4 linked regions of the Elephas maximus indicus genome follow. The protein of the gene in region 1 purifies or fractionates together with the protein of each later gene. This does not show direct contact. Links are inferred from orthologs where the notes say so. Each region holds a gene or a part of one and is shown in the gene's direction. Other genes may lie near its edges.

The links.
Region 2: the proteins of DDB2 (region 1) and CUL4B purify together in Homo sapiens (affinity purification with mass spectrometry; 11 studies listed by BioGRID and IntAct, counting the BioPlex papers as one, with this or other methods). This does not show direct contact. The link is inferred for Elephas maximus indicus from reciprocal best matches to the Homo sapiens genes DDB2 and CUL4B.
Region 3: the proteins of DDB2 (region 1) and COPS8 purify together in Homo sapiens (affinity purification with mass spectrometry; 6 studies listed by BioGRID and IntAct, counting the BioPlex papers as one, with this or other methods). This does not show direct contact. The link is inferred for Elephas maximus indicus from reciprocal best matches to the Homo sapiens genes DDB2 and COPS8.
Region 4: the proteins of DDB2 (region 1) and CCT7 purify together in Homo sapiens (co-immunoprecipitation; 3 studies listed by BioGRID and IntAct, counting the BioPlex papers as one, with this or other methods). This does not show direct contact. The link is inferred for Elephas maximus indicus from reciprocal best matches to the Homo sapiens genes DDB2 and CCT7.

Annotation. Positions count from the first base shown.
Region 1 is NC_064825.1:102,634,438-102,641,964, forward strand, and holds the start of DDB2 (DNA damage-binding protein 2), read left to right. Parts: upstream 1-4,517; 5' UTR 4,518-4,605; intron 4,606-4,880; 5' UTR 4,881-4,948; coding exon 4,949-5,075; intron 5,076-6,666; coding exon 6,667-6,803; intron 6,804-7,164; coding exon 7,165-7,356; intron 7,357-7,527.
Region 2 is NC_064846.1:35,959,032-35,966,644, forward strand, and holds the start of CUL4B (cullin-4B), read left to right. Parts: upstream 1-4,596; 5' UTR 4,597-4,684; intron 4,685-6,842; exon of another isoform or gene 6,843-6,867; coding exon of another isoform or gene 6,868-7,613. Other genes in the region: C1GALT1C1 (C1GALT1-specific chaperone 1), read left to right, coding at 6,868-7,613.
Region 3 is NC_064824.1:139,246,567-139,254,354, forward strand, and holds the start of COPS8 (COP9 signalosome complex subunit 8), read left to right. Parts: upstream 1-4,788; 5' UTR 4,789-4,927; coding exon 4,928-5,005; intron 5,006-6,867; coding exon 6,868-6,938; intron 6,939-7,788. UniProt on the Homo sapiens protein: Component of the COP9 signalosome complex (CSN), a complex involved in various cellular and developmental processes.
Region 4 is NC_064835.1:62,607,020-62,614,345, reverse strand, and holds the start of CCT7 (T-complex protein 1 subunit eta), read left to right. Parts: upstream 1-4,318; 5' UTR 4,319-4,455; coding exon 4,456-4,461; intron 4,462-7,326. Other genes in the region: PRADC1 (protease-associated domain-containing protein 1), read right to left, coding at 234-343, 879-979, 2,897-2,963. UniProt on the Homo sapiens protein: Component of the chaperonin-containing T-complex (TRiC), a molecular chaperone complex that assists the folding of actin, tubulin and other proteins upon ATP hydrolysis.

The DNA of each region.
Region 1 (7,527 bases):
AGCAGATCACCAGGTCTTTCTCCCTTGTAGCCACTGGGTAGGTTAGAACTGCCAATCTTTTGGTTAGCAGCCTAGCACTTACCCACAGCGCCACCAAACCAAAAAACCAAACCCATTGCCATCGAGTCGATTCTGACTCATAGCCACCCTATAGGACAGAGTAGAACTGCTGAAAGCTTTATAGAAGCAGACCGCCGCATCTTTCTCCTGTGGAGTGGCTGATGGGCTCAAACTGCTGACATTTCAGTTAGCAGCCAAGATTTTAACGACTGCGCCCTCAGGGCTCCTTTTTAAAACCTGGTTAAGGTGTCTCAAAGCACAATCTCAAACAAGGCGCTTTACTGGTGTGTCCCAAGCAGGTTCCCACTGCTCATACATGGTTCTTTTCATCCACCATGGAAAACCTCCCCAATCCTGAGAATTTTGGGACAACCTGGCATTAAGCAGGACATTTCTTAGCTAATGAATCCATCATGGGTAACTATTACCTTTCTGCCTTTTCATTTCCTGATCCCTCTGCCTGGAATGCTCTCTCCCTCCTCCCTCAGTCTCCTAAGATTCAGCTTAAGTGTCACCTGGGAACAACAACAAGCCTCTCCTTTTCCCCGCTCCAAGCTGAGTTAAGGTGTCCCTTTTCTGTCCTCCCACCCCAGCCAGAACCCTAGGCTTCCTCTCTCACTAAGCTTACCCACTGTACGATAGTTATAGGTTTTCTTGGCTTTCCCACTATTAGAAGGTACACTTGTCCAATGGGGCAAGTAGAGTTTTTCATTCCAGGATTCCCTTTGCCTGAAATAGTGCCAGGCACAGAATTGGTTTTTGATAAATGTCGATGGAATGAATAAAATTTGAATTCCTGTGACTGCCACTCAACTTTGCCCTGTATCTGGTCCTTCTGACTTTGCACAGATCCTCAACAGAACGTTGGTCATAGCAGAAGGTCAGGTTTCCTTTTTGTTATGGATTGAATTGTGTCCCCTTCAAAATACCTGTTGTAAATGCTAACCCCTAAACACGTAGGAGAAGCCCTGGTGGCACAGTGGTTAAGAATTCAGCTGCTAATCAAAAGGTCTGCAGTTGGAATCCACCAGCCGCTCCTTGGAAACCCTATGGGGCAGTTCTGCCCTGTCCTATATGGTCGCTATGAGTTGGAATTGACTTGATGGAAACAGGTTTGGTTTGGTTTATACATGTAGAAAGGAGCCCTGGTTAAGCACTTGGCTGCTAACAGAAAGGCTGATGGTTAAAGCCACCCAGAGACTCTGTGGGAGAAAGACCTGCTGATCTACTCCCTACAGCCTAGACTACAGCCTAGAAAACTTTATGGGGTGGTTCCACTTCGTCACGTGGGGTCACTATGAGTATAAAATCGACCTGACAACACTTAGTAACAACAACAATACTATGGGATATAATCCAATCTGGGAACAGAATTTTCTTTGTTATGTTAATGCCGCCATATCGATGTTGCGTATGTTTTAAGCCAATCGTTTTTTTGTTGTTTTTGTGCTTTAGGTGAAAATTTACAGCTCAAGCTAGTTTCTCATACAAAAATTTATACACATATTGTTATGTGACAGTAGTTGCAATCCCTATAATATGACAGCACGTTCTCTCTTTCCACTCCAGGTTTTCCATGCCCATCCAGCCAGCTCCTGTCCCTTCCTGCCTTCTCATCCTGCCTCTGGACAGGAGCCACCCATTTAGTCTCATATATCTGCTTGAACTAATATTCTTCAGGAGTATTATTTTATGTTTTATAGTTCAGTCCAATCTCCGTCTGAAGAGTTAAGCCAATCACTTTTTTTTACATTATTTTATTTTATTTTTAAATACTTTTTATTGTGCTTTAAGTGAAAGCCTACAAATCAAGTCAGTCTCTCACATATAAACTTACATACACCTTACTACATACTCCTGCTTGCTCTCCCCCTAATGAGTCAGCCCGCTCCCTCCTTCCAGTCTTTCCTTTTGTGACCATTTTGCAAGTTTCTAACCCCCTCTAACCTCCCATCTCCCCTCTAGACAGGAGATGCCTACATAGTCTCAAGTGTCCACCTGATACAAGTAGCTCACTCCTCATCAGCATCTCTCTCCAACCCATTGTCCTGTCCAATCCATGTCTGATGAGTTGGCTTCAGGAATGGTTCCTGTCCTGGGCCAACAGAAGGTTTGGGGACCATGACCACCGGGATTCTCTAGTCTCAGTCAGACCATTAAGTCTGGCCTTTTTGTGAGAATTTGGGGTCTGCATCCCACTGTTCTCCTGCTCCCTCAGGGGTTCTCTGTTGTGCTCCCTGTCAGGGCAGTCATTGGTTGTGGCAGGGCACCAACTAGTTCTTCTGGTCTCAGGATGATGCAGTCTCTAGTTCATGTAGCCCTTGCTGTCTCTTGGGCTTATAATTACCTTGTGACCTTGGTGTTCTTCATTCTCCTTTGATCCAGGTGGGTTGAGACTCATTGATGCATCTTACATGGCCACTTGCTAGTGTTTAAGACCCCAGGTGCCACACTTCAAAGTGGGATGCAGAATGTTTTCTTAATAGAATTTATTTTGCCAATTGACTTAGACATTCCCTGAAGCCATAGTCCCCAAACCCCCACCCCTGCTTCGCTGACCTTTGAAGCATTCAGTTTATTCAGGAAACTGCTTTTGGTCCAGTCCAGTTGTGCTGACCTCCCTGTATTGAGTATTGTCCTTCCCTTCACCGAAAGTAGTTCTTATCTACTATCTAATCAGTAAATAACCCTCTCCCACCCTCCCTCCCTCCCCCCTCTCGTAACCACAAAAGAACGTGTTCTCAGTTTAAACTATTTCTCCAGATCTTATAATAGTGATCTTATACAATATTTGTCCTTTTGGATCTGACTAATGCCTTCCAGGTTCCTCCATGTTATGAAATGTTTCACAGTAAGCCAATCACTTTTGAGATATAAAAGTAGCAGCTTAGGCACAGATAAAAGCAAGAAGAAGCTGAAGATGGACGCCAAATGGAGATCACCAAGAAACGAGGAACGGAATATGAACAGAGACAAGGACCTTCCTTCAGAGCTGACAGAGAGAGAAAGCCTTCCCCTAGAGCTGACAGGGAGAGAGAGCTTCCCCTACAGCTGGTGCCCTGGATTTGGACTTCTAGCCTCCTAATTTGAACTGTGAGCAAATAAATTTTTATTCATGAAAGCCACTCCCTTATGGTATTTCTGTAACAGCAGCACTAAAGAAACAGAAGATACTCTTCCAGCTACCTCCCACTCTACTCATAAATGTCAATGTCCCCCAGCCAGACACCACCAGAAATACTTTTATAGTTGAACTTTGGGTTTGCTGTTCATTCAAAGGGAGCAATGGGGAATGGTGTGGTATCTCAAGAGGATGTTAGAAAGGATTTATAGGAATTGGCTTGTGTTCGACGATTTTGGGCTGGGTTTAAGGAAGCAGGAGTCCCTAGGTGGTACAAATGGTTAATGTGCAAAAAGTTAATGTGCAAAAAAAGAGACACGTGGGTAGAAAAGCCTGGCCACTTCCCTCAGAGCCAGCCACTGAAAGCCCTATGGAGCAGGATTCTACTCTCACTCACATGCCATAGCCCGGAGTTGAAATTGACTGACAGAAACTGGTTGGTTTGCTTTGGATCGGAGCCTGTCAGGAAGTAGGGGTAATTCTATGATTGGATTATCTTAACAAATCTTGTGTACTAGGTGGGAGGAATGAAGCAAAGTTAAAGCTATAATCGGCATAGAAGCAGCAGGCATTCATATTAGTCAAAAAAGGGAAATGTTTGATCATTTATGTCCTTTAGACAATTGCTCACAGTTTTGTCTGTGCTCAGACATGACTGATCATGTTTTTATCTTGATCTATCATGGTCATAAAGTGGCCTTGTCTGATGCTGATGTTCTGTGGAATTATTTCAGGTTTTCAACAGAACATCAAGGCCTGGCTGACAGTACCAGGCCATCTTCCAGATGCCAGGACGGCTTTTCTCTTTAAAAACCACACCCATTCCTAACTTTGCCCAAGCTGTTCCTGCACTAGGATGTTCTTCTCTCTCCCCTAGCCATACCCGGGCCGAGTGGAACGCCCGCCCACCCATATGAGGCTCAACTCACTGCCTTGGCCTTTGGCTCAAGTTGAAGACACAGGACCTCAAAGCACCCTGTGCTACATGGCCTCCCCGCCCATTACTGCCCCAGGCTGGTCCCTAGGCGGACACACAGGTTTGGAAAAATCTGATAAAAGCCGAGAGCTCCAACCGCTCTGCAAAGAGAAGCTCGGATTCGACGGAGCTGGGGAGGTACTCGATGCCAATCGCAAAGGTGGCGGGCAACAACACCCCCAGTTTCCACAGCAGCTAAGGGGTATCTTTCTCCGAAGTGGTCTCCCTAACCACACCCTGTACGCACCAGCCAATCCCAAAGCCGGAGTAGGCTTCATCCCCAATAAGAAGTCAGTGAAGGCGGGAGCCGCAGCCTTGATTGGCACCTGTACTCTCAGCAGAGGCCTGGCAACGCCACAGCTGAAGAGGTTCAAGTTTAGTGACCTAGCGCTGCCGGCCGTCTTTACTTCTGGCAGTCAGCTGACTTGGACTAGAACAGGCCCATCACGTGGGTGATATCCCATTTCGGGGGGTGTTTTGGGGGGCGGAGGGAAGCATTCTAAGCCCTCTAGGGGGAACAGGTACGCCCCTCTCCCCACACTCTCTCCCCAGCTCTCCTGGCGCGCTCCCGCCTTCCAGGAAGGGGCGGGGCCCCTCCCACAGGGGCGGTTCCGGAACTAGAAGCTGGTTCGAAAGCCGTGAGCCTGTTTGGCGGGAAGTTGGCTTAGTTGGGCTACCTGTGGCACACCTGGCTTTCTTGGTCCCTGTCTTGTTTCTCCTTAGAGGCCTCTCAGTCCGCGTTCCATGATCTCGGCATAGGGTCGCGAGTACTCCATCACCCGGAAGACGCGATGGCTCCCAGGAAACCTCCAGAAACCAAGAAGACCCTTGAAGTTCCTAAGTGCCCCAAGGGCAAGAGGAGCAGAAGCCCTCAGGAGCTGGAGCAAGAGGCCAAGAAGCTCTTTGTGAAGGGTCCCGGTACTGTCTGTGCCTGCTGGCTTAATATTTCCGCCATTTGGAGTTGTGACGCAGGAGACTGGGGTGGGGGACGGGTGGCTCCCAGGTTCCTAAGGCTTTCCCAGCTTACGGACGCCTCAGGCTGTGCATTTTGCCTGCCGGTCCGTTGACACCTGCCAGCTTTGAGACCAGAGAACGTGGGCTTAACTCCCGTTAGGTGAAGAGAGGACGTAGATAAGCTCCGTTATAACCGACGAGAACTTTTTTTTAAGTTCCTTGCCCTGGTGGCGCAGTGGTCAAGAGCTCGGCTGCTAACTAAAAAGGTCAGCAGTTTGAATCCACGAGCGGCTCTTTGGAAACCTTATGGGGGCAGTTCTACTCTGTTCTGTAGGGTCGCTATGAGGCGGAATCAACTCACGGCAATGGGTTTAGGTTTTTTTATTATTATTATTATTGGAATCTTTTCACACTGAGAACTGCTTAAAATAATTCTGCCTTGTCTGATAGTGTTCGCTGAATTTCAGTAGTCATGATTGTTAGCTCTATGTCCTTGATTTAGGCTGTGAGCCCTCAATTTCTCTACTTCCTTAGAAAGCTCATTCTCAGAGGCTTTTTGGGGCTTGAATTTGGGATTATAAGGACTGTGGGGAGTCTTAGAGACTGAAGCAGGGATTTTTTTTTTAATAATTTTTATTGTGCTTTAAGTGAAAGTTTACAAATCAAGTCAGTCTCTCACAAAAACCCATATACACCTTGCTACACACTCCCAATTACTCTCCCCCTAATGAAACAGCCTGCTCTCTCCCTACACTCTCTTTTTTCGTGTCCTTTTCGCCAGCGTTTAACCCCCTCCACCCTCTCATCTCCCCTCCAGACAGGAGATGCCAATGTAGTCTCAAGTGTCCACCTGATCCAAGAAGTGAAGCAGGGAATTTTTTTTTTTTTTTTTTTTTTTTAGGCCTATGAATAGAAATAATTGGCTTTCAGGAGACTGGATCCAAATAGATCAGGTCCTCAAATGCATTTTGGTAATCCAGAGCTGCTTTATTCCTATTCTAAGTGGATTTACCTCCCCAGAACGAGCCTGGGTTCCTTAGAGCTAGTTCAGACCCTTTGGATGCTACTGGCTTCTGGGAGGAGGAGAGAGAGGATTTGGGGCCTACAGCTGACCACCTCTGCATTATTTTAATATAGGATTTTAAGATATTTCTTTTCCTAAACAGTCATTTCTACTAGATTGTCTTAAAATCTTTTTTTTTGCACATCATATGTGATTTTAAAATTGTCACCCATCTTATCTCGAGTTTTCCAGCCCAAAGTGGGAAGCGTTTTGCGATGTACTTTATTTATGCGTTGTTTCTTTGGCTCAGGAAGCCTGCAAGATCATATTTAGCTTTCACTTCAGAGTTACAGTTTGAGCGGGTTGGGGGTTAGAATGGGGTAGAATGCCTACTCACTACTTACTACTTGTGCTGGGTGAAGCTAAGCAAATCATGGAGATGGCATAGATGGGCTGTGCTGAATGAAACAACAAGGCTTTTTGGATTTCAGCAGAAAGATCTTTCCTGAGTGAGATCAGAGAGAAAAATATGTGTCTGTTCTGTTTTGACAGGTTCTAGCAGAAGATATGACTCAGGCTGTCTTTGGGCGGGATTGGCTAATCTGCAGGTTCTGTCGCCATACACCAGCATCGTCAGGGCCCTCCACCAGCATAAGCTGGGCAAAGCTGCCTGGCCGATGCTGCAGCAGGTGAGGCGTTTCCTGGCTGAAGTGCTTAAGGGTTTGTATGGTGCCTTTTTACTCTTGGATGCTCCAAAATTAGAGGATGGGTTGGTTGGCAGGTTGTCAGAGTGGTCAGATCACTCCAACCTTGGTGACTGGCCTATGGGCAGTCAGCCAGGTAGAAGTAAAGATCCCAGCTGGAATGAACTCTGCCCCCTTGCTTTCCAAGATTAGTTCACATACATTGCAGATATTGGCTGGGGAGGAGGGTGGTATTTTCAGGTAGAGGGCCAAGCAGTTAGTTTTCTTTGGTGGGAAGACTTAGAGATTGGCATTTTACCCAGGACTTGGGTGTTAATTCAACTTCATTCTTTTCTCTCTGTGTCAGAGTCTCCAGCAGTCCTTTTTGCACTCTCTGGCTTCTTACCGGATATTCCACAAGGCCGCCCCCTTTGACAGGAGGGCCACATCCTTGGCATGGCATCCAACTCACCCCAGCACCCTGGCTGTAGGTTCCAAAGGGGGAGATATCTTGCTGTGGAACTTTAATACAAAGGACAAACCCACCTTCATTAAAGGGGTGAGCAATTTCCTATGCCAGATAGTAGTGATAAAGAAGTATTTGTTGAAGGAATAAAAAGTCAACCAGTTACAAGGAGATGATTGGGATCAAAAGTAACTGTGGGTATCTTCAGACATCTAAATGGTGATGATACTCAAATATTTATTGAATGCCTACCCTTATTACCCT
Region 2 (7,613 bases), on another chromosome or scaffold:
CCTGGTGGTGTAGTGGTTAAGAGCTCAGCTGCTAACCAAAAAGTCAGCAGTTCAAATCCACCAGGCACTCCTTGGAAACCCTACGGGGCAGTTCTACTCTGTCAAATAGGGTCACTATGGGTCAGAATCGACTCAACGGCAGTAGGTTGGATTTAATCTTACCGAAGCAGATCACCAGGCTTTTCTTCCCCAGAGCCACTGGGTGGATTTGAACCACCAACCTTTCAGTTAGTAAAAAAAAAAAAAACCAAACCCAGTGCTGTCGAGTCAATTTTGACTCATAGCGACCCTTATAGGACAGAGTAGAACTGCTCCATAGAGTTTCCAAGGAGCGCCTGGCAGATTCGAACTGCTGACCCTTTGGTTAGCAGCCGTTAGTAGCCAAGAGCAAACCATTAGTACCACCCAGGGACCTATATGTACACTGCTACCACAGTAAAAAAAAAAAAAAATGCCTTAAAAATTACAAGACCACATATTGCAACCCTGATGAATTAATACCACAGGCACTGGCCATCAGTGGCAGCGAGCATCACAGGGAGAGACAACCAGACAGTATGTGGCTCCTGAGGGAAGCACACAGAACCACCTATGAAGCAGTTTTTCCCGGAAAAGAAATGAACCTGATTCTAACCAAGCCTTTTGATTAGGGTTAGGGTTGCCATATAAAATACAGGACATCCAGTTCAATCTGAATTTCAGATAAACAAGGAATAATTTTTTAGCATAAGCATGTCACATGCAATAGTTAGTATGTCTCATGCAATACATCCGGGACATATTTATACTAAAAATTATTCCTTGTTTATCTCAAATTTAATTTTAACTGGGTATCCTGTATTTTTATTTACTAAATGTGGCAAACTACCAGTCCACAGGGAATACAAAGGACAGAGAAACATATTAAAAGAACCAGGATGAGGTAATCAGCACCAGACTGTGGGTAAATCTACAAGAACAATCAGATTGCTTCAACAAAGAAATGTCAAGAGAAGAAAAGAAAGTAAGAGAGAACCTAGACTAAAAAGAGACGTAAGAGACACAAAAACCAATCACATTGTAGAGATTTTATTTGGAGTCTGATTTAGACTATAAAAAAATTGTGATATTGTTGGTAATTTGAACACTCTAGATATTTGATTAATTAAGGAATTATTAATTTTCAGATATGATAGTGGTATTGTGGATTTTTAGAAATTCTTATCTCTTAGAGATCCATATTGACATGTTTACGACAGAAGGAGCTTTACAATAATCTAGAAGAAAGGGAAGTGGAAGACGTATAGATGTGACAAGATTGGCTTTGAGGTGATGATTGTTCAAGGTTCGTGAAAAGTACATGTGATTTCATTATACTTTTCTCTCTACTTCTGTGTAAGTTTGAAATTCTCCATAATAAAAAAGTTTTTAAAAGAAACAATACCTAGTACAGTGCCTGATATGACATACTGTAAACATTTTGTTGGAGGGCAAATGGGTTTGTTCATTTAAAAAAAAAAAAACTCTCAGATATTTTTAAGTAGAAAAATATTTTTGACATAAGATTCCAAGCATGAATATGCCTGAAAACACAAACTGAGATTCATTTAGAGACCAAACTATCCTCAAGCTGAAACAATAATGAATTTGCTCAGACCAGGGAATTTGTTTATTGCACATGAACAGTTGAGAAACTCTGGGCAGAAGAGTTACACAGAGGTACTTCATTCACAGAAGATATTTTTAACCCTCCAAAAAGATGTTATGCAGAAAACAATCCACCTTAGATTTTCTTCAATATTATTCCAGTGAACTGTTGCAGAAAGTCACGTCAATTTCCCAAAGGCCTGAGGGCAAATTTTGAAAATTTGAGTGCTTACACGCAAGTGAATCTCCAATTACTAGAAATTAATGACCTCTACGCTGCATAATGCATGGAATTGGCAGAAATGCTTTTCCAAAAAGGCAGTGTTTTCGGCTTTGAATGCAGTCTTGCCTTGCCTGCTATGTACATGAAGGCAACCAAATTCAAATGCAAACCCCCATAACAGGTGCAGGTTAGTGTGTTTAGTGAAGTTTAGTGCAGGTTAGTGAAATAAGCTATCTTGTTTTTAAATGTTTAATATTCCATTATATGGCTGTACCATAATTAATTCAACCATTTCCTTATTGATGAATGTTTCCCACTTTTGCTATTATAAACAATAATGCATTTTTCCTTATATATTCAGCCTTACATTCTGATGTTTTAATTTCTGTGGGAGCGATTACTAGAAGTGGGTTTGCTGGGCCCACTTATATGCTGAGTGTAAACATTCTTATTTTTAGTAGATACTAATTGCATGACTTATTAAGGTTATAATATGTAAAGGTCTAAAAAATGAAATCACCTAACTAAAGTCAATCATCTCTAACTTCATTTCAAATGTTAAGTATACTTAAATTCTGCTTTAAATAGAGAACTGGGTTCTTAAACAATTTCTCATTAGCAGTGTTTCTGGTGTTGAAAATCTTATGGTTTGTTCTGTTTCAGAGCACTGTGTATCAGTACTTCCAGTTTGGTATACCTTCCTGTACTAGAAAAAAGAAATGTTTTAAATTGCCTCCTTATAATTGTCTCTGAAATCTGAGTGAAATTTCTATCTGTCCTTCCTTGGTCCTTTTTTGCAAGGAAAACTAGTTCTCTATTCTCTTTAAAAAGGTATTGGTATCTTTTCCTCTTTGTTGCTTTAATTTTTTTTAATTCCTTTATTTGCTGCTTTTCAAATTCAAAAGTAATAAATGCTCGTTAGAAGCAGTGAAACAATGCAATACAAAGATGGATAATGACAGAGTTAACCATACTCACCTCAACCTCCGGATGTGATCAATACTGCTGGGTATAGTTCTATACTCTCTTGCTCATTCAAACAAACCAAGCATATGTGCATGTATATAAAAATTTGTTTGTTGTTACCAAAGTATAATCATACTATACACATTATTCTGCAACTTGTTTCACTTAACTATATATATATGTGCGTGTATACACATATATTTATATTTGTGACAATCTAAAAATGACTATATATCAATCAAGAAAATATAACAGAGATATTCTGCAGTATTAAATTCCTTTCCAGTTCAAAAATTCATCTTTTGTATTCCTTAGAGTCAGGGGCTGAGTCAAAGGCAGCTGACATGTCACATTACAGGGAGAGCAACTAGGGTCACAGAACAATGTGTGTATAAATTTTTGTATGAGAAATTAACTTGAACTGTAAACTTTCACTTAGAGCACAATAAATAAAAAACGGCAACTAACAACAACAGAGAATATATCACTATTACAATTATTTGTAATAAATTGTTTAATGTCATTCTTCCCTGCTAGACGGACAGTTCTATATTTTACAGGGGACTTATTTTGTTTACCACCATAGCCCCAGAATTTAAGGTAGCACCGCCATGATAATTGCCCAGAGCCTATTTTTTTGTGACTGAATAGTCATTGCTAATAGACCCAAAAACATCTAAGATAGATGTGTTTTTGGAAACGCTAGCTGAAGTCACCACAGCAGTATCTAATATAGAGAAATCATTCAGTTAATGCTATTTGAAGGAAACATAGTGACATTTAAAATATTTCTAGGGATTTGTGCTTTTTAGCAAAAACCCCTCTCTGCCACAAAAAGAATTTTATGATAGACCATATATTTAGTGGAAGGAGTTCTGCACTTGTAATTAGGAGACCTGGATTCTAGTTCCACCTCTGCCTCTACCTAGCTATGTGACCTATATTAGGTTTCTTATCCTTTCTGGGCCTGGTTCCTCATCTGTAGCTCTAACTCATTTAATTCCACTATATATTTATTGTTGAGGAGTGAACAATAATAACAGCCAACATTTGTTGAACTCTTACTCTATGGTTGGTGTTTTGCTAAGGGAGTCACATGCACTGTCTCATTTAATCTTCTACAAGATAGGCATTACTGTGATATTTTCTGTATTTTAGAAAAGAGGGCACTGAAGCGTTGAGAGGTGAAGTAAATTTCCGAGGACATCAAAGCTAGTGGTGAAGATAGGATTGGATTCCAGGCAGCGTTGCTTCGGATCCCAGCCCAGTAACCATAGCGAATTCTTACCCTCATAATTCAATGATTTTAGTGGCTGACATTTGGGCCCCAGTCCAAAAGTACTCGGGTGGAATACCTCTTTGCCAATATAAGGGTGCAATGATGCAGAGCTACCTTACAGAAACCACTGAGACATCCCACGTACGGCCGCCAGGAACCAGAGTCTACAACACCCTCGGTTTTCACATCGGGAAGAAGAAGAGGTGGGAGGTGTCGGCGGGTCCGATGCACGCACGCCTCTCTAGGCGTCCCATTGGGTACAGGAGAGCGTGCGGTGGGCGGGGAGAAAGAGGCGCGCTGCGTGCGCACTGAGAGAAAGAGGCGCGCGGCGTAGGCGCGGGCCCTTCTGAGGTCTGAGCGAGCGGGCGGGCGGGCGGTTCAGCCGGGCCGAGGGCCCGTTTGCCCCGCCCCGCTGTCTTCGCCTTCGTGGCCTCCGCTTCTTGGTCCTCCCCACCTTTAGTGAAACCAACGAGAGGACTCCGCCTGCAGCTAGAGCAGCCTGACTGGGAGCGTTACCAAGTGGCGCGCGGACCTGAGAGGAAAGCTGTGCGCGGCTGCGCTTTCCCACCCCTGAGGCGTTGTAGACACCGGTGAGTGCCGGGGTCTCGGCCCCCACCCCCGCGGACCCCGGAATGTTCTGACCCTGCCTCTTCCCTGAGGAGGGCCTGAGCCCTTGCTCACTCCCAGCATGCTCCACGCGGGACGCCAAGGCAGGTGCTGTTGGAGGAATAGTCAGTGGGGGAGATGGAGAGTTTTGAGGTGACCGTATCCTACTCCTTACTTCTCTTCTCCCCTTTCGTCCTCCTCCCTTTTTGATACTCCACCCCAGCACCTTCACCTTCTAAAAAGATTCATCCCAACCACTATGATAGTGCTTCATTTGTGTTTGTTTTAAGTTTCCCTCTCTTCTTCAAATATCCTATCATGTGCGTTTCCAGTGTTACATTTTTTGGCCTGCCTTGATTGGAAAAAAAAAAAGAAGTCTACTCCTTAGAATAATTTGTGTGAATGGTTTTATTTAAAAATTGCTGACTTCTTGAGTTTGTTCAATATTTTTGCAGCCATGAGTAATAACCCATCAGGCAGAATTCTGACGTTATTTGCCATTATGGAGCTGAGAGACACATGTGAAATATATTGGCCAGAAATAATGAAAATTGTGTAATGTGAAATGCCACATTCCTATATACGTTAATTTTAGAGCACCCCTGACAGTTCTAATTAAGCAAAGCTTGTTTCCTGTTCTCTTTTCCTTCTTGGAGCTGTTTATTGATCAAGTGCCTTGAGTGATACAGTGCAACCATCCTGCTTCTCCCCCCACCCCAGTTCTTAGTATGATGATGTTGGGTGTAAAATGTCAATTATGGTTAACAGATCCCCATATGTATATATACACATATTTTTTTTTGGTCTGTAGGAAAACAAGTGATTCATTTGTTAAAGTCTCAATACTATGGGTAGAAGCACCGTAGAAATTGATATGTAATGAGAAAAATATTAAAGTGATGTCAGGAGATCTGGTGTCTAGTTCCACTTCTACCATTAACTTCGTGACTTTGGGTCAGTTGCTTAACCTCTCTGGACCTTAGTTTCCCTATTTGTAAAATGAGATAAAAGGCATTAGATAGCTTCTAGTGCCCCTTTGAACTTTAAGAGACAAAGAGAAAACCTGAGTAGCTCAATAAAACATTCTTTGTGAAGATGAAGGGGTGATTGGGAAAATACTAGCCTTTACAAGCATAAATGCTGGTTGTATTTAATGTTGGCTTTTTCAGTTGGAAACCCTGGTGGTGTAGTGGTTAAGAGCTACCCAAAAGGCAGTTCAAATCTACCAGGCATTCCTTGGAAATCCTATGGGGGCAGTTCTACTCTGTCGTCTAGGGTCGCCATGCGTTGGAATCAACTCGATGGCAACAGGTTTGGTTTGGTTTGGCTTTTTCCAGTTGAAGTAAAAGTGTAGAGTTTCCCTTTTTTACTGGAAGAAGAAAATGCCTTTTCAGGAAATAAAATGTTTGTTAATGGTCCCCAGATATGTCTGTATTGATTTAGTTCTCATCGAAATAATTTAACTATTCCCATCATAAGCTTTTAATACACCAGTTAGTTGAGATACGTATTAGGTACAGTATTGGAAACCATTTAGTTTTAGGAACAAAAGTGTAAATATTAGCATATATGCTATCAATCTCAAGATACTTGATTTAGATGTACTCCAAACACCTAAGGTCAGCAGCCATCAGTTAAATAAAGTACTAGGCTGGGAATAGAAATGTCAACACAGATACCATTGGTGATTTGCCACTTGTAGGTGGCTTTATCTGTTAGACTTAAGGTTTTGGTGTGAAGGTCCATTTATATCTGCAAAGGTATTTGAATAACATAATGCAAGCTTGTGAAACGAAATTCCTTTAAAGAGAACGATGAACGGACAACTTCTGTGACATTGGTTTCTAGAGTTAATGCTTTGATTTAGTACTTGGACAATTAAATCCCCACAGATGAAGTACAAAAAAAAAAAAGAGCCTTCTCACAGCAGATTGTACTCCATAGAGGAGTTGCTTCAAAGTTCCAGTTTACATCAAACAGTAATCAGATGCCACTGGAAGCTAAAGATTCCTAGGGTCATTGGTACTATGTACAACTAACTGGATTTCAAACTTGGGAACCTTTTTAATGTTCAGAGCAAAATGTAAGTATATAAGGAATACCAAATCAAATGACTAATCTTTTTCCTTTAAATATTTTAAGGATCTTTTTCTTCTTTATAGGAAAAATGCTTTCTGAAAGCAGTTCATTTTTGAAGGGTATGATGCTCGGAAGCATTTTCTGTGCCTTGATCACTATGCTAGGCCACGTTAGGATTGGTCATGAAAATAGAATGCACCACCATGAGCATCATCACCTACAAGCTCCTAACAAAGAAGATATCTTGAAAATTTCAGATGATGAACGCATGGAGCTCAGTAAGAGCTTTCGGGTGTACTGTATCATCCTTGTAAAACCCAAAGATGTGAGTCTTTGGGCTGCAGTGAAGGAGACTTGGACCAAACACTGTGACAAAGCAGAGTTCTTCAGTTCTGAAAATGTTAAAGTGTTTGAATCAATTAATATGGAAACAGATGACATGTGGATAATGATGAGAAAAGCTTACGAATATGCTTTTGATAAATATAAAGACCAATACAACTGGTTCTTCCTTGCACGCCCCACTACGTTTGCCATTATTGAAAACTTAAAGTATTTTTTGTTAAAAAAGGATCCATCACAGCCCTTCTACCTAGGCCACACTATAAAATCTGGAGACCTTGAATATGTGAGTGTGGAAGGAGGAATTGTCTTAAGCATAGGATCCATGAAAAGACTAAACAGCCTTCTCGGTATCCCTGAGAAGTGTCCTGAACAGGGAGGGATGATTTGGAAGCTATCTGAAGATAAGCAGCTAGCAGTCTGCCTGAAATATGCTGGAGTGTTTGCAGAAAATGCAGAAGATTCTGAAGGAAAAGATGTATTTAATACCAA
Region 3 (7,788 bases), on another chromosome or scaffold:
AGATGAAGTCTCACCATCCTTGCTTCTAAGGAGCATTCTGGCCGTATTTTTCCAAAACAGATTTGTCTATTCTTCTGGGAGCCCATGATATATTCAATATTCTTCACCAACACAGTAATTCAAAGGCATCAATTCTTTTTCAGTCTTCCTTATTTATTGTCCAGCTTTCACATGAATGTGAGGTGACTGAAAATATCATGCCTTGGGTCAGGGACATCTTAGTCTTCAAAGTGACATCTTTGCTTTTTAACACTGTAAAGGGGCATTTTGCAGCAGATTTGTGCGATGCAATATGTCATTTGATTTCTTGACTGCTGCTTCCATGGGTGTTGTTGGTATTGTAGATTCAAGTCAAATGAAATCCTTGACAACTTCAATATTTTGTCCATTATCATGCTGTTGCTTATTGGTCCAGCAGTGAGGAGTTTTCTCATCTTTATGTTGAGGTGTAGTCCATACTGAAGGCTTTAGTCTTTGGTATTCACCTGTAAGTCTTTTAAGTCCTCTTCATTTTCAGCAAGCAAGGTTGTGTCATCTGCATATCATATATATATACACAGAGAGAGAGAGATTTATTTGGGTCATGTAATTATGGAGGCTGGCAAGACCCAAATTCTGTGGGTCAGCTCTCAGGCTGGAGATTTTTCCTGAGTCATACATTTGTAGGGTCTGATGAACCCAAAATTGGCAGGTCAGACAGCAGGCTGCTGGTTCACATCCCAAGAATCAGAGGTTAGACTATGACAGTTTAATGTAGGATCAAGAGAGAGCAAGCTTTGCTGTAACATCCATATATATTGGCTGCAGGCCACACCCCCAAGGAAACTGCCTTTTCAACTGATTGGCTGCTCACAACAGATCACATCATGGACAGTGATTGCGTTATATCTGCCATACCACTGAGAATCATGGCCTAGCCAAGGTGACACATAACCTTAACCATAAAAACCTTACAACAGTTTTCACTTCTTTATTCACTTCCCGTATTTATTGATACATTCATAAAAATTAACGAAGTTATACAGGCGTAGGGTGGGCCCTAATCCCAAACCCTTCTCAGAGGCATCTCATAGAAGAGGAGCAGTTTTAGACACAGAGACATACCTGGGGTGAAGACACAGCGTAAGCTGATGGAAGCAGATGCACATAGAAGCAGCAAAGGAGCTCCCAGGATTCTCACCACCAGAAACAAGGGGAGCGGCATGCGGCTGCTCCGCTCTCATAGTCCTCAGGAGGAATCAACATGGAAGAGACGCTGACTTGGACTTCTAGCCTGCAGAACTGTGAGACAATAAATTTCTGTTCTTCAAAGCCACCCACTTGTGGTATTTTGTTATGGCAGTCCTAGGAGACTAAGACACAGACATGGCATGTTTAACCATGCACCTATTAGGTCATTCAGTGGTTTAGCTATTGTACTTTATGATTTTGCACCACGTTTTAGCTGCAGTTCATTCCCTCTTCAGTAATTATTTCATTAGGATAGCTTCCCAAGGGCAGTACACTAAGTCCAAGGCTAAGACTATGTCATGGTTTTCATTGTGTATTGCTACCTTGCTTAATGAAATGGCAACATCTACCACAGGGCCGCCCACAGGGGTGCCTTGCCCAAGAGCTCAAACTGATATTTCACCCGTCAAGGACACAAATGTCCCTCTCAGCCAGTGGTCCGATGGAAGTACCTGAGCAATCTATCATCTTGTTCTTGGCCACATTAACACCCTCAAACCCAAAATGCCCTGAATAGAACTTCTAGTGAAGTGCTAAATAGAAGTGGTGACAGTGGACATCTTTGTCTTCCTCTTGATTTTGGGAGAAAAGCATTTTCACAGATAAAAATTTACATAAATTCAATCCTCAAAATGTGAAGATTACTCAAATGCCCACTTTCCCATTTCTCAATTATCTCTGACAACCTCTGCCCACACGGCACTTTCTCGTTCTGACCCTAGCCACCCCCAGCTAGGTCAGATCTCACAACTTAAAAGGACACCATCCTTCAGACTGCCAAATAGGCAGATGCCAGCCACAAGCCTGGGAGTCCACATGACACCCTTACTTCTAACCTGCTGGCTACAAACTTGGGTATTTCCCACTATTCATTCAGAATGTCAGTCCAAGTTTGGGGGCCTCCCCTGGACTTCCTAACTTTCACTTGCTGGCTCCCACTGTTCCTTTGGGTTTGATAATTCACTGGAACAATTCATAGAGCTCAGAAAATACTATACTTACGGTTACAGGCTTATTGTAGCAAAAAGAATACAAATCAGCATAGTGAAGAGATGTACAGGGCAAGGTCCAGGGGTATTCTCAATGAAGAGTTTCCATACCCCCCAAGAAGCTCACTACCCTCCCATGTGTATCCATGCCTTTCACCAACCAGGAAGCTCCTGAAGCCTCTGTGTCCAGAGCCTTTATTTGTTTCATTACATATGCATGATAGGGGCCTCATTGCATATTCATATTCATATTCATATTCATGGTAAGAGCCTCATTGCATATGCGTGATTGAATCATGTTCCCTTATCTCCCTGAGGTCAGCTGATTTCAGGTCATGATGTGGTCCTTCTAGCTTGGCCAGCCCCCCACTCATTAGCATAAATCCTCTGGTATAGTCCTTAAGCTTAAGTAACAAACCCATTGCTGTTGAGTCAATTCAGACTCATAGCAACCCTATAGGACAGGGTAGAGCTGCCCCATAGGGTTTCCAAGGAGCAACTGGTGGATTCAAACTGCAGACCTTTTTTGGTTAGCAGCCGAGTGCTTAACCACTCTGCCACCAGGGCTCCCAAATAACAAAAGGTACTGTAATTACTCAGGAAATTTCAGTTATTTCTCAGGAACTGAGGACAAAGGTCAAATTTCTCTCTGTAAGGGGATTCATTGCTTCACAGGATTCAACCTTTTACTATTAAATATGCTGTAGGTGTGGGTTTCTCACAGATGTCCTTCATCACATTGAGGAAATTCCCTTCTATGCCTAGTTTGTTGAGTATTTTTATCATGAAGGGGTGTTGGATTTTGTCACACACTTTTTCTGAATCTATGGATTTGGTACCTTTTTCTATTGATATGGCGTATTATATTAATTGTTTTTTGAATGTTAAACTCACCTTACATTTCTGGGCTAAATCCTACTTGGCCATAGCATGTAATCGATTTTGTATATTGCCGGATGAGGTTGCCTGTATTTTGTGGAGGACAATTGTATCTATATTCATAAGAGATTTTGAAAAAACACAAAAATAAGACAGACACCAATTGCAAGGGAAATAGGAAGTGGCAAATTTATTGTCTGCGCAGACAAGGAGCAAGGTAAGGATTGGGGAGCTTTTATGTCCTCAGATCCCTGGGGATCTGGGTGCTGAGTCATGCTGAGTCACTCTTCACAGGAAGTTCAAGTTGGGGGACTTCTCGCTTTCCAAAGTAGCTCGGGTGGCACTGGGTGCTGGAGAATATCTTCCCCTCTGGTGATGCTCAGGCCTGGGGTCAGGTACAGAATTCTCTTGATCTGCGCATGTGCCAAGATCTTGACCTGCGCACGTACAAAGATTTGACCCCAACAAACTAAGGTTAGAAGCCAAGGTTTGTAGGGCTGTGGGCTTGGAGCAAACTGCAGTTAGAAGCTGTGGTTTGCAAGGACAGCAGACGAAGGTTGGGGGAGTGCCTCAGTGGAGTGGAGGAAGCCACGGCGACTTGGGGTTTCAATTTTAGTCTGTGGTTTTCTTTCCTTGTGATGACTTTGTCTGGTTTTGGTATTAGGGTAATACTAGCCTCATAAGATGAGTGTAAAGTGTTTCTTCTTCTAATTTTTGGAAGAGTTTGTGAAGAATTGGCATAAATCCTTCTTTAAATGTTTGGTAGAATTCACTAGTGAAGCCATCTGGGAACAAAGCAAAGCCTTAGCCCTGGGGGCGCCTGTGGTTTAGTAGCGAATAAACACATTTATAACATACTGTTTGGCAGCAGTCAGTATCATGCAGAGAACCAAGGAGCCCAAGGCCTGGAGCAGAGTCAGAGAGCAGCTGGGATTTGGATCATGTAAGCTTTGTAAGCAATGGAAAAGCCTTTGGATTTTAGGGCTTTGAAAAGAGGAATAACAAGAATTAATTTATGTTTCATAAAAGTCATTTTGGCTGCTGTGTAGAGAACAGGCTGGAGGCAGACAGGGGTGGTAGCTGGCCTATTTCAGGGGTCCGAGTTGGAAAAGGTTCTGGTTCTGTATGTATTCTGAAGGCGAAGAGCGGGGATTCCCTGAGTCTCGAATGCGGGGTGCGCAGAGGGGAGCCAGGTTGGAGGATGGTGAGGCCCTTTACTAAGAGGGAAGGGCTGCGAAAAAGCGGGCTTGGGAAACAGACTGAGGTAGGGTTTGAACCTAAGTCTGCGTGCCTATTAGGCCTCAAAGCCGACGTATCAAGTAGGCGGTTGAAAACACAAACCTGAGACATACAAACATAACTTGAGCACCTACTAAGCGCAGGGCGTTGTCCAGAACGCTAGGCAGGGCATCGACCAGTACGGCAGGGCTCATTCTTTTCTTATTATACATAAACGTTTTACTGTGCCTCTAGAGGAATTTCTGTTTATTATTTTCCGCGTATGGGTTGTCTTCAAAAGGAGTCCTCCCGCAGGCACAAAACGCCGCCCTTCCCGGACTTGGCCTTGACTCCTGACGCCGACTTCCGGCGAGGACCGACCGGTCCTCCAGAGCATAGAGAGGCGGGCCAGAGCGGCCACGACCCCTGCCCCCGCCCCCGAGCCGACGCAGAGACGTCTGAGGACGCACGGAAACCTCAGGCGCGCCTGCCAGTACCTACGGGCGCTCGTCGGCGGCCGAGGCTTTTTACGTCATCGCCGGCGCGACACCCGTAGGGACAGTCTGGGGTCTGGTTTTCGGGGAGGTGAGGCGGCGGGAGCGGCGGGGAAGATGCCAGTGGCGGTGATGGCGGAAAGTGCCTTCAGTTTCAAGAAGCTGCTGGATCAGTGCGAGAACCAGGAGCTCGAGGTAGGGCTCGGCTCGGGCCGGGAGAAGCCGCGGGGTCTCCGGGGTAACGGGCCCTACGGCGGCCGGCAGGGGACGGGCGCGGGAGCTGGGCGCGGGGAGCCCGGGCGGCTGCGGCCGGCTCCGCCTGGAAGCCCTCGGGCCCGGCCTCCTGGAGGGAAGCGCGGCCTGGACCGCGGTCGCAGCCCCATTCTGCCCCCGCACCAGGGCTGTCCGGCCACCTGTCATCACGCCTCGCCCTCCGCGCGGGCCACCTTTCTCGTGTGACCCGGGTTGGGCTTACTAGGCGTGGAAATTCTCCTGTCCCCCGACTCCATGTTGGGGACTTAAGTTGGTCTGATACAGTGTATTTTGACTTTTTTTTTTTTCCTTTAGTTTAATTTTGGCCCTTTTTGGTTAAGAGCTTGACTGCTAACCAAAAGGTGGACACTTCGAATCCGCCAGCTGCCCCTTGGAAACCCTATGAGGCAGTTCTGCTCTGTCCTGCAGGGTCGCTATGAGTCGGAATCTACTCGACGCCGACGGGTTTGAGATTTGGGTTTTTCCATATTATAATCAATTTTTGGTTCATTTGTACCCAGATAAGACCTTTACATTGCTTGTGTTAACAGTACTTTGTTAACGATTTGCGACGTGCACCCAGGTGCGGGGACAGTAAACATACTTTTTAGAATTCGTTCCAATTTTTCTGCTTTTCAAAGCGTAGGGTAGTATTTCTTATACAAGGCTTTTTTGTTGCTGTTTAACTTGTTATTTGTCTTCAGCTTGTTTTGTTTTTTCTCTTACAAGCTGAAGTTTGAAGACAAATAACTTCAGCTTGTGAGAGAAAAAACAAAACAAATATATGCGTCTTTGCTCCTAACACCCACCAGTATGCTTTTTATATTAATTAGACGAGACACGCTGCTTTCTTTGTCATTGGCCGGGGGAGGGGAAACGTGGGTTTTATTAAAGACACTTGTGCAGGCATGTGCCCATGTATATACAAACAGACCAAGAAAGGTGGGACCTTTCCTTGACTCAGAAAGCCGGTCTTATTCTCATAATACTCCTACCAAGTAAATTTGCTGTTTTGTCTTTAGTTAAGACAAATGAAAGTTTTATTATGCTGTTGAAGTTAATAGTTTAGACTTTTTTGAGTTAGACATTTAAATGCATGACATTATTATAAATAGTTAATTAATTAAAGGAGAGAACAGTGAGACCAAGTAGCTCTAGCTCACTGATAAAAAACGCTTAATAAATGTTTCCTGAAGTTAAATGGGGAAAGAAATGTTTTTGTACCTCAGCCATGATGTTTTTCTATTCCCCACTCATTTACCGGTACTTAACTGTTCAACATGTGGACCCTGGTGGCTTAGTGGTTGAAGCATTTGGCCGCTAACCAAAAGGTTGTCAGTTCGAATCCACCAGCTGCTCCTTGGAAACCCTATGGGGGAGTTCTACTCTGCCCTACAGAGTGGCTATGGGTCAGAATCGACTCCATGACAATAGGTTTGTTTTTTTTTGGTTGACTGTTCGACATATTTGATATAATGGGTAGAGTCATAGTGCTTTAGGAATTGGTTCAGAATGTTTGTGTCTTATAATAGTAAAGTCGTTTAAATTAGAATTTGAAAACTTGGAAAGAGACCCCAATTAGATTATCATGTGAAGAAATTAAGGCTCAGAGGGAGATAAGTCACAACTGATGACAGAGCTAAGCTTCGTTCAATGGTTTTAGTGTTTGATACTTTTGTAAGCTGTTTTTATATATGTAATAGGGCTATAAAACATGCATTGTATTTAAAAAAATGCTTTTTTTTTTTTTTTAAATAAGAGGTAAGAATAAATAAGGTTTTTCTCTTTCCCTTTTGGCTTTGTAGGCTCCTGGAGGAATTGCCACAGCCCCAGTGTACGGTCAGCTTCTGGCCTTGTATCTGCTCTATAACGACATGTACGTGCCTTCTACCTAAAGCCAACAGCAGCAGTGTCCCCAAAGTTAGACAGAATCACCCTCGCCTTGAAGCAGCACACTAAGTCATGGACACAGCGAGCTGTATCTTTTACCGTAACACTGCATACACCTGTTTTACCTTGAAGCATAACTTAATGAATTCTGATTAGGCTGAGTTATTTTTATTTACATTTGTTTATCAGGTACCTTATAAAAATATTTCAGTTTGTTACGAGAGACTACAGTGTTAGTCAAGTCTATGTGCAGTTATTCCTTAACATCTATTGACCTTTTTTTTTTAACTTTCTAATGACATTTGTTGATGTAACCTCACATTTAATCGATAGTCCAAGAGGAGCTGAAAGGGAGAATTGTTTGAGAAAGCTAAGAAGAATTTATTAGCAAAGCATATGAGATTTCTTCAGAGTTTTGTGTTTTAATTATCCATGTTCATTGAAGAAAAACCAGAGAGCACAGCTGTGCAGACAAAGAGGAGTCTCTGATCGTTTTACACCCCATAGAGAATTACTGATACGTTTCTGGTTTAAATTCTTCCAAATCTTTTTATTTCCATACCTTTTTGAAAATTAAATACCAAGAGTCTTATTACAGTTTGTGTAAGTTCTCTGCTTAATTTTTTATAATTCCATCATCATATGTTTGCTGTTGTTCAGGTTTTCAAACCCTTATAAACTCCCATCCTGGCAGAGTTTGGAGGCTCTGTGCCACTGGTCAGCAGGGCCATGATGAGGTGATTGCTTTGGGTCCCACACACATTGTCAGGAAATGCTAGAGCCTTGATGGTGTGCGGATTTGCTTATCTTTATGTTGGAATGCCTTATTTGGGCAA
Region 4 (7,326 bases), on another chromosome or scaffold:
ACCCCTTTCCAGACCATCACCTGTGTGGGTGGAAGAAGGACCATGGAGGATTTTTTATAATGGCTAGTAGGTAAATAGCCAAAGGGCCGGAATCATCTTAAGATAGTTTTAAACACCTTTAAAACAATGACTCGTCCCCAGAAAAGCTGTTTCAAAGCATCACTAACAACTATGACCCCCAAATCTGCCCTATGCCTGCTCTCCCCTTGTGTCCATGTCTGCCCGCTCCTTACCCCCTCTCCACCAGAGCGATTTGGTCCTGGATGAAGAAACCGTTGCTGAGTTCCCCACAGGCCTCTGGGGGTTCGGCAGGGACAAGGTGGATCTGCTCATACCTTGTGTGCTGAAAGACATTCAGGTAGAATAGAGTGTGAAAAGATGGCTGCTTTCTGACTGCGCTGACATCCCATCCAATTGGTTTCCCGTAGAGTGTGAAGGAAACATGAACTGGTTTCTGTGTGCAGGGAACTGGAGCATTGTAATTCTCACGAAGGCCCAGATGATTGTCCTACCCAACCCTGCCTTTCTGGGAGATAGGGGAGTTTGTGTGGACCCAGAGAGGGGAAGTGACTTGCCTTAAATCACATAGTTCAGAGGTAGAGCTGGCAGAGGAAGCTGGTGCCTTTGGTTTCTCACTATGTCATGACAGCCTGTCCCTCCATGGTGCCCAGGTCTGTGCTAGACCCACGGGAGGAGCTGGAAGCATTTCCTCCCTGCACTGCAGCCCCTGGAGGGCACAGCTGGGTTCTGATCCATTCCCCGGCTCAGCACTGGGCCGTGGCGGCACTCAGGTACTGGTTGAAGGGATGAGAGGGACACCCAGCTCAGTGAGGAGGGGAGGAAGAACGTCAAAATGGAGAGGGCCTCCGGAAACTTACAAAGATACCACCAAAGTCCTTGGCAGGTGTGGCTGTGAAGATGTATCGAATGTCCCCAGGACTCAGCACTTGGAAGTACAAATAGTCATTGATACGTAAGCCTGAAGGACAAAGAGTACAGGTGAGAAGCTTCCGGGGAACAAGTTAGTTCAGGTTCAGACCGTGGACTCTGGGTCTGAACCTGGGCTGACTGGTCTCCCCAGGAGGGTGAGATAGACGGTCTTTGCCCTGTAGAGGATAGAGTTGAGGCAGATAACATTAGTAACCCCAGAGATTTATAGCTGCTGTTCTAGTGTTCTCTCTCTGGGGAGTTAATCCTTGTTTGCTCTGAAGTGGGCCTGGGAGTTTCAAGGTGGAGATGTCGTGGCCCCGGTAAACAATTCTCACTAAAACTTAAAATTGACTCTCTGTTCCCACTGCCATTCCCCTAGCCCACCCACCCTATTGCCCTGACTGTTCCAGCTTCTTAACTTTTGTTTGCCTCCACTCTTGCTTCCTAAGGTCCATTCTCCAAACAATAGCCATCTTAACACATAAACACGACCATGTTGTCATCCCCAGGACTTCAATGACTTCCCTTTGGACTTAAAATCGAATCTTAAGTCTTAACAGCCTACAAGACACTGCTTGATCTGGCCCCCGGACACTACTGCAAGCTCATCTCCTCCTTACTATATTCAAACTACGCTGCCCTCCTTTCAGTTTCTTGACCATCCCAGCTCTTCACTTCTCCAGGTCTTCCTCCAAGTTGTTCTCTCTACCTAGAAGGCTCCCTACCTTCACTCACCCCACGTATTTACCTGCCTCACTCCTATGCATCCTTTGGGTCACAGCTTAAATTTCACTTTCTCAGAGAAACTTTCTGCACTGTGACTGCCTTCTCCTAACACCCATTCGAATTGAGTTCCCCTCGTACTTCTTCTCCACTGACGTTTTCAACAAAATTTGTAATTGTATTCATATTCATTGCTGCATCCCCAGTGTCTAACACAGGGGCTAAGATATAGCGGGTGCTCAACAAAGGGTGACGAATGAGCAACTATTTCTGGCTCCAACACACTGAGGAAGAGAATTGCCAGAGCAAACAGACTTTCCTGGGGTGTGGGAACTTCTTTTCAGCACCAAAGTTTAATATTTTACCTGGCCTCGAGTCCCTGGTTTCCTTAGCCATGGATCAGCTAGCCAACAAATTACCATGCACTACCATGTGCCAGACTTTGGGCTGATTGTGACTAGTTGTCCTCGCCTACTGCCCACATCACTGCCACCAGGTAGCGCTCTGTTGGCTTGGCACTGGGCAATAGCGTTTTGACCCAAGAATGGGGACTCTCCATCCAATACAGATGCACTTCCAGGAGGCCTTCCTGAATTAAAGCTAAGCTCCCCACCCCACCTCCTTGCCTAGCCTCTGCATCTGTTTATCTGTGTAAATTAAGTGTGAGTATATGTGTGTATGTATATATACGAGTCGGAATCGACTCGACGGCACTGGGGGGTTTATATATATGTATACACACACATACACACATATATAGGGTTATGAGCTGGAACCGACTCCACGGCACCTAACGACATATACAAATATATACATACATGTATACATGGCTGTATACGTACATGTGCTTGTGTAGGTGCTAACAGATTGTGTGTGCTTGTGTGAGAGCCCAGATGTAGGATTATATGCTGTATAATTTTTTATTATATTTTTATGTGTATGAGTGCTCACATACATATCTCCAGCTTGTAGGATTTTCCAGGTGTCCCTTGTGCCTCGTCCTGGTCACCACCCTCGGCCACCTGGGTCCTGCTTCAACGTGGGGGGCTGAGGACTCAGAGTCTAGGCTTGGGCTGCGCCTAGCGCATGTCCCTGGGGACCAGCACCCAACCAGCCAGCCATCTGTCCCCGCACCTGCCCTGCCTCAAACTCGCGGGGTCCCCAAGGTGACCCGTGGCCCCCAGCCGGAGACGCGCGCAAGCTGGACGGCCTGCCCCACAGCGCAGTCCCGCCCGTTGCTCACCGTGGGCCGCGACGCACGCGGGGAACCAGAGCACGAGACAACACCAGCCCGCGGCCCCAGGGACCATTTCCAGGGCCCTGCCCGGCTCTGCGTTTTCCCCCGGCGCCCCGCCGCGCGTCCCTCGCCGGACTTCAGCCGGAGAGCTGCTCCGGCCTCCCGCCCACAGACCCGCTCTCGTGGCTTGTTGGCTAACCGGAACGAGGCCTGTTGCCGATTGGCTCTCATGCCTGCTCATGTAGCCACGCTTTCCGCCTCTGCGCCTTAGCCTACTTCCCATTGGCCAAGAGAAGTGGGGCTGAAGGCTGATTGGCTTAAGCTGTGAACACCAATTGCCAGCCCTCGCCCCAGCCCCGCCCCAGCACTTCTCAGTTTGGATATGACTCTCCAAGGCTTCACCGACTGGTGGGCCGGTCCGGGAGGAGGGAGAATTGGGGGTGGGCACCCCGGATGACTCGCTTCAGCGGCCTAAAAGCCCTGGCGGTTAGTTCCTGCCATCTCGGCCGGATCCTCTCCGTGGCCGCTTCACAATTTATTTGCCTTCTCCCAGGCGTGAGCACTCTGCTTTGCTTTCCTTCCCCCAATCCGTCCCACGCCCCCACCCCGCGGGAAGGCATTTGTCTAGCGCCCAGGTGGCCCACCGTTCTCGGCTTGGCGTTCAAGGCCCGCCAGTCTTATGCCCAGTTGCATCATTTCTTGCGCGCTCACTATTCGTAGGCGTTGGGAACGCGGCCTGATCTGCAGCCGTAAGGCTTTGGCCAGTGCAGAGCCAGAAAACGAGTATTGGGGCCAGGTTCTCACCCCGCCTCACTGTCACACTGTGTGCAACTGTGACTTTGGACACCATTTCTTAACCTCTCTGAGCTTCAGTTCCTTCATCTGGAAAAGAGGTATAATAATAAGACAAACAAAAGAACCAAGCCCGTTGTTGAGTCGATTCCGACTCATAGCTAGCGACCCTATAAGGCAGAATAGAACTGCCTGGCAGCGTTTCCAGGGAGCGGCTAGTGGACTCGAACTGCCGGCCTTTTGGTTAGCAGCCAAACGCTTAACCACTGCAACACCACGGCCCCTAGGTATAATAATAGTACCCAGGCAATAGGGTTGTTAGGATTGAGCTCATTTACGAAAAGCGCTTACTTAGCATAGGCCAGTTTCACAGCATTCAATAAATGCACGCGTTTATTGCATTCCTTGGTCTAGTGTCCAGTGGGGGATCGGGGCGGAATCAGGGTTAGTAGGTGACGGGGGCGGAGTAAGAAGCCTGCACCACCGAGAAGAAAAACGCACGACCGGAATCCGGAGAAGCTTCGGTAATTAAGGCCTCGGGTAGCGGGACCTACACCTCCTTCCGAAGCCCAGCCTCTGGCCCTTCTAGCCTTGCCGACTCTGTGGTAGAAGAACCATAGAGTGGCGGAAGTGGCCCGTCCCCTTCCTCTCCCGGCACAACGCCTTGACGAAGGTTCTGCGAACTTCTTTGGCGCGAGGCATTGTGGGGTTGCCGGACGGCCGGGACCCAGAGAAGAGAGGAGGAGGAGCGGGCCATTAAATAAGCTTCCAAAATGATGGTGAGTGGAGTCCCGCGCATCCGTCGCCATCCGCTGCCATCCTGCCCGTGGCTGGCACCGTCTGGCCGGGACCCATCCCTTAAAGCCCTCTCCTGCGTACCAGCTCTGTGTCCACCCGACCGCAGCCTGTGGGCGACCCCGGCCCGCAGCGGCCTGGCTCGGTTAGGGCACCGAGCAGGGGCCGTTGGCGAGGGCTGCGTAGGGCTCCAGGGGAGGCTCTGGCCGATCGGCTGGGGACTACAAGTCCCAGGGTGCTTCGGGGCCACGAGCCCGCGTCGTGGACCCGGGCACCCCGTTTTTGGGGTCCCCCATCGAGATTTGTGTGAAAGGAGTGCCAGTTGGGCGTGCTTCTGCGGTTGGCGGCTGGGAAGCTGGCTTGCCCCTGAGAATGCTGGATGTAAAGACGCTATGTGGTTCCTAGAACGGGCAGAGGCAGCATGGGGACCTTACATTTGGCCGAGCCCAGGGTTTCACTTTATGGTAGCTCACTGTCCCCCAGCCTATCCGGTGCAGCATAAATTGAGACAGCATAAATACTCCTCCGCTCGTATTTTCATTCATTCACACACTCATTCATTCCTTAAATAAACGTATATTTAATGCCCATTGAATGTACCAGGCTCAGCTTGTCGCAGGAGGTGCAGCTCTTTAGCCAGAATGGGCAGGGTAGACGGGAACACCGCACTCAGAGGTTGGAAGACCCTGGCTGTGACCCCCGACCTCTTGGTGCGACATTGGACTAGACTTTTCTAGTTGGCCCTTAACTCTGGGTCTTTTCCTTAGAATAGAGGACTGGGGGATCGTGGAGCTCTCCCCCTCCCACAACATCCCTTTTCTCTATCTCGGAGCTGCAGGTTCCTTCCCTGTTTCCCAAACTTAGGTAGTTATCTACTGAGTTGCTGTTGGACGAGGTCAGCTCTTAAGGAGGTTATTGCTGGCAAAACTCTTAAGTTATTGTTCCCCTGTGCACCTGGCAGTTTTCTCATTCATTTTGGCCTCTCGGTCTGACTCGTCCTCTTTTCTGGCTCCCTGCCGCTTCTCCCTGCCCTGGTAGATGTATGACTGACACCTTTGAGGTGTTCCTTCTGCTACTGAATGCCCCATGAACCCAGGTTGTGCCCAAGATACAAGGAACCTGTAGTTTATCTGCAACCCTCCCCACTTTGGACCTCTGGCACCATCCTTCTTCAATCCACCTTCAACACTACCTATTCTTGACATGGTCTTCACTTTCTGGACAGAGGCAGCATAGAATAACTGTTTAGAGTCAGGGCTCTGGAGCCATATTGAATGTCTAGGTTTATAACTCAACTCTCCCATTTACTAGCTGTGTGACTTGGAACATGTTACTTAATTTCTGGTCCTCAGTCAGTCAGAAGAGATAGCAATGAGTAGAGTATTGTATAGAATTAAGTGAATTAATGTATGTAAAGTGCTTAGAGCCATGGCTGGCATGTAGTAAGCACTCAGTAAATGTTAGCTATTACTCAGCCAGGTGGTTGCTTACTTCCTTTTCCTCCCTGTAGTCTATCCTACTGCCAAGGCTACCATAAGAGTTTAGGTTGGTATTCAGAGAACTGGGAATCAGAACTCAGGTTCTTCTGTCTGATAATTAAACCCTTCACCAGGGGACTTCAGACCACTGCACTTGGGTTTTTCCTGAATGGACCCCTACTCATCATTGCCAGATTGACCCTATTTCCCTGCTCTTTTGGTTGTTTAGATAGATGTCTCCTCCTTTTGTAATGTGAAACTTTCACCGAGAATCCTCCTTGCTGTCATCAGATTGTTCTCTGATATTCTAAAAGTCTTCTAGGGTAATAAGAAAACAACAACAAAAAAACCAAACCCGTTGTGGTCAAGTCGATTCTGACTCATAGCGACCCTGTAGGGCAGAGTAGAACTGCCCCATAGAGTTTCCAAGGAATGCCTGGTGGATTCGAGCTGCTGACCTTATGGTTAGCAGCTGTAGCTCTTAACCACTGCATCGCCCTGGGAATATGATAGAAAAGGACTGGTCCTGCTTGACAAGGCTTGCCTCAGTCCAGCTCTGCTACGTCTCCATAGGATCTCTCTACCCAGACTGTCGTTTCTGTTGGGACTACAAAGCATGGGGAACTTGGAGAACATGCGGTCAGCTGCTTCCAAGTCCTTGCTTTGTACTTAAGAATTGAATTCTCAGTGTATTTAGTGTCACCATACTGCCAACTCTTTAATGAAATAAGCCAGTCCTATCTTATTTCATGGCTTGTATCAAGCACTTTCTAGTATATGATGTTGTTGTTGGCTTTTGTCAAGTTGGGCCCTGACTCATGGTGATGTCGTGCGCAGTGGAAGAAAACGCCTGTTAAAATCCATAGGGTTTTCTTTGCTGATTTTTAGTAGTAGTAGATTGGCAGGCCTTTCTTCCTAGTCTCTTCATCTGGGAGCTCTGCTGAAACCTGTTCAGCATCGTAGCAACACGCAAGCCTCCAGTGACAAACTGGTGGCGACTGCACATGGGGTGCAAACCAGAAAAACCAAACGCCCTGCCACTGAGTTGATTCTGACTCATAGTGACCCTATAAGATTTCCAAGGCTATAAATCTTTACGGAAGCAGACTGCCACATCTTCTGCATACGTGAGGTACATTGGCAAGAATTGAATTTGGGTCTCTTGTGTGAATCGACTCGACGACACTGGGTGGTTTCTGGGTGTGTAAAAGGCAAGAATTCTATCACTGAATTACCAGTGTCCCCTCTAGTTTATGTAATGGTTGAAATTTCAGCACCAAAAGCTGCTGAATGTTGTTTCACATGTGGCCAAATCTAGCCGTTCTACAAATGGAGATTGCTATAGTGCTTACCTTTGGGAAGCTCATACAT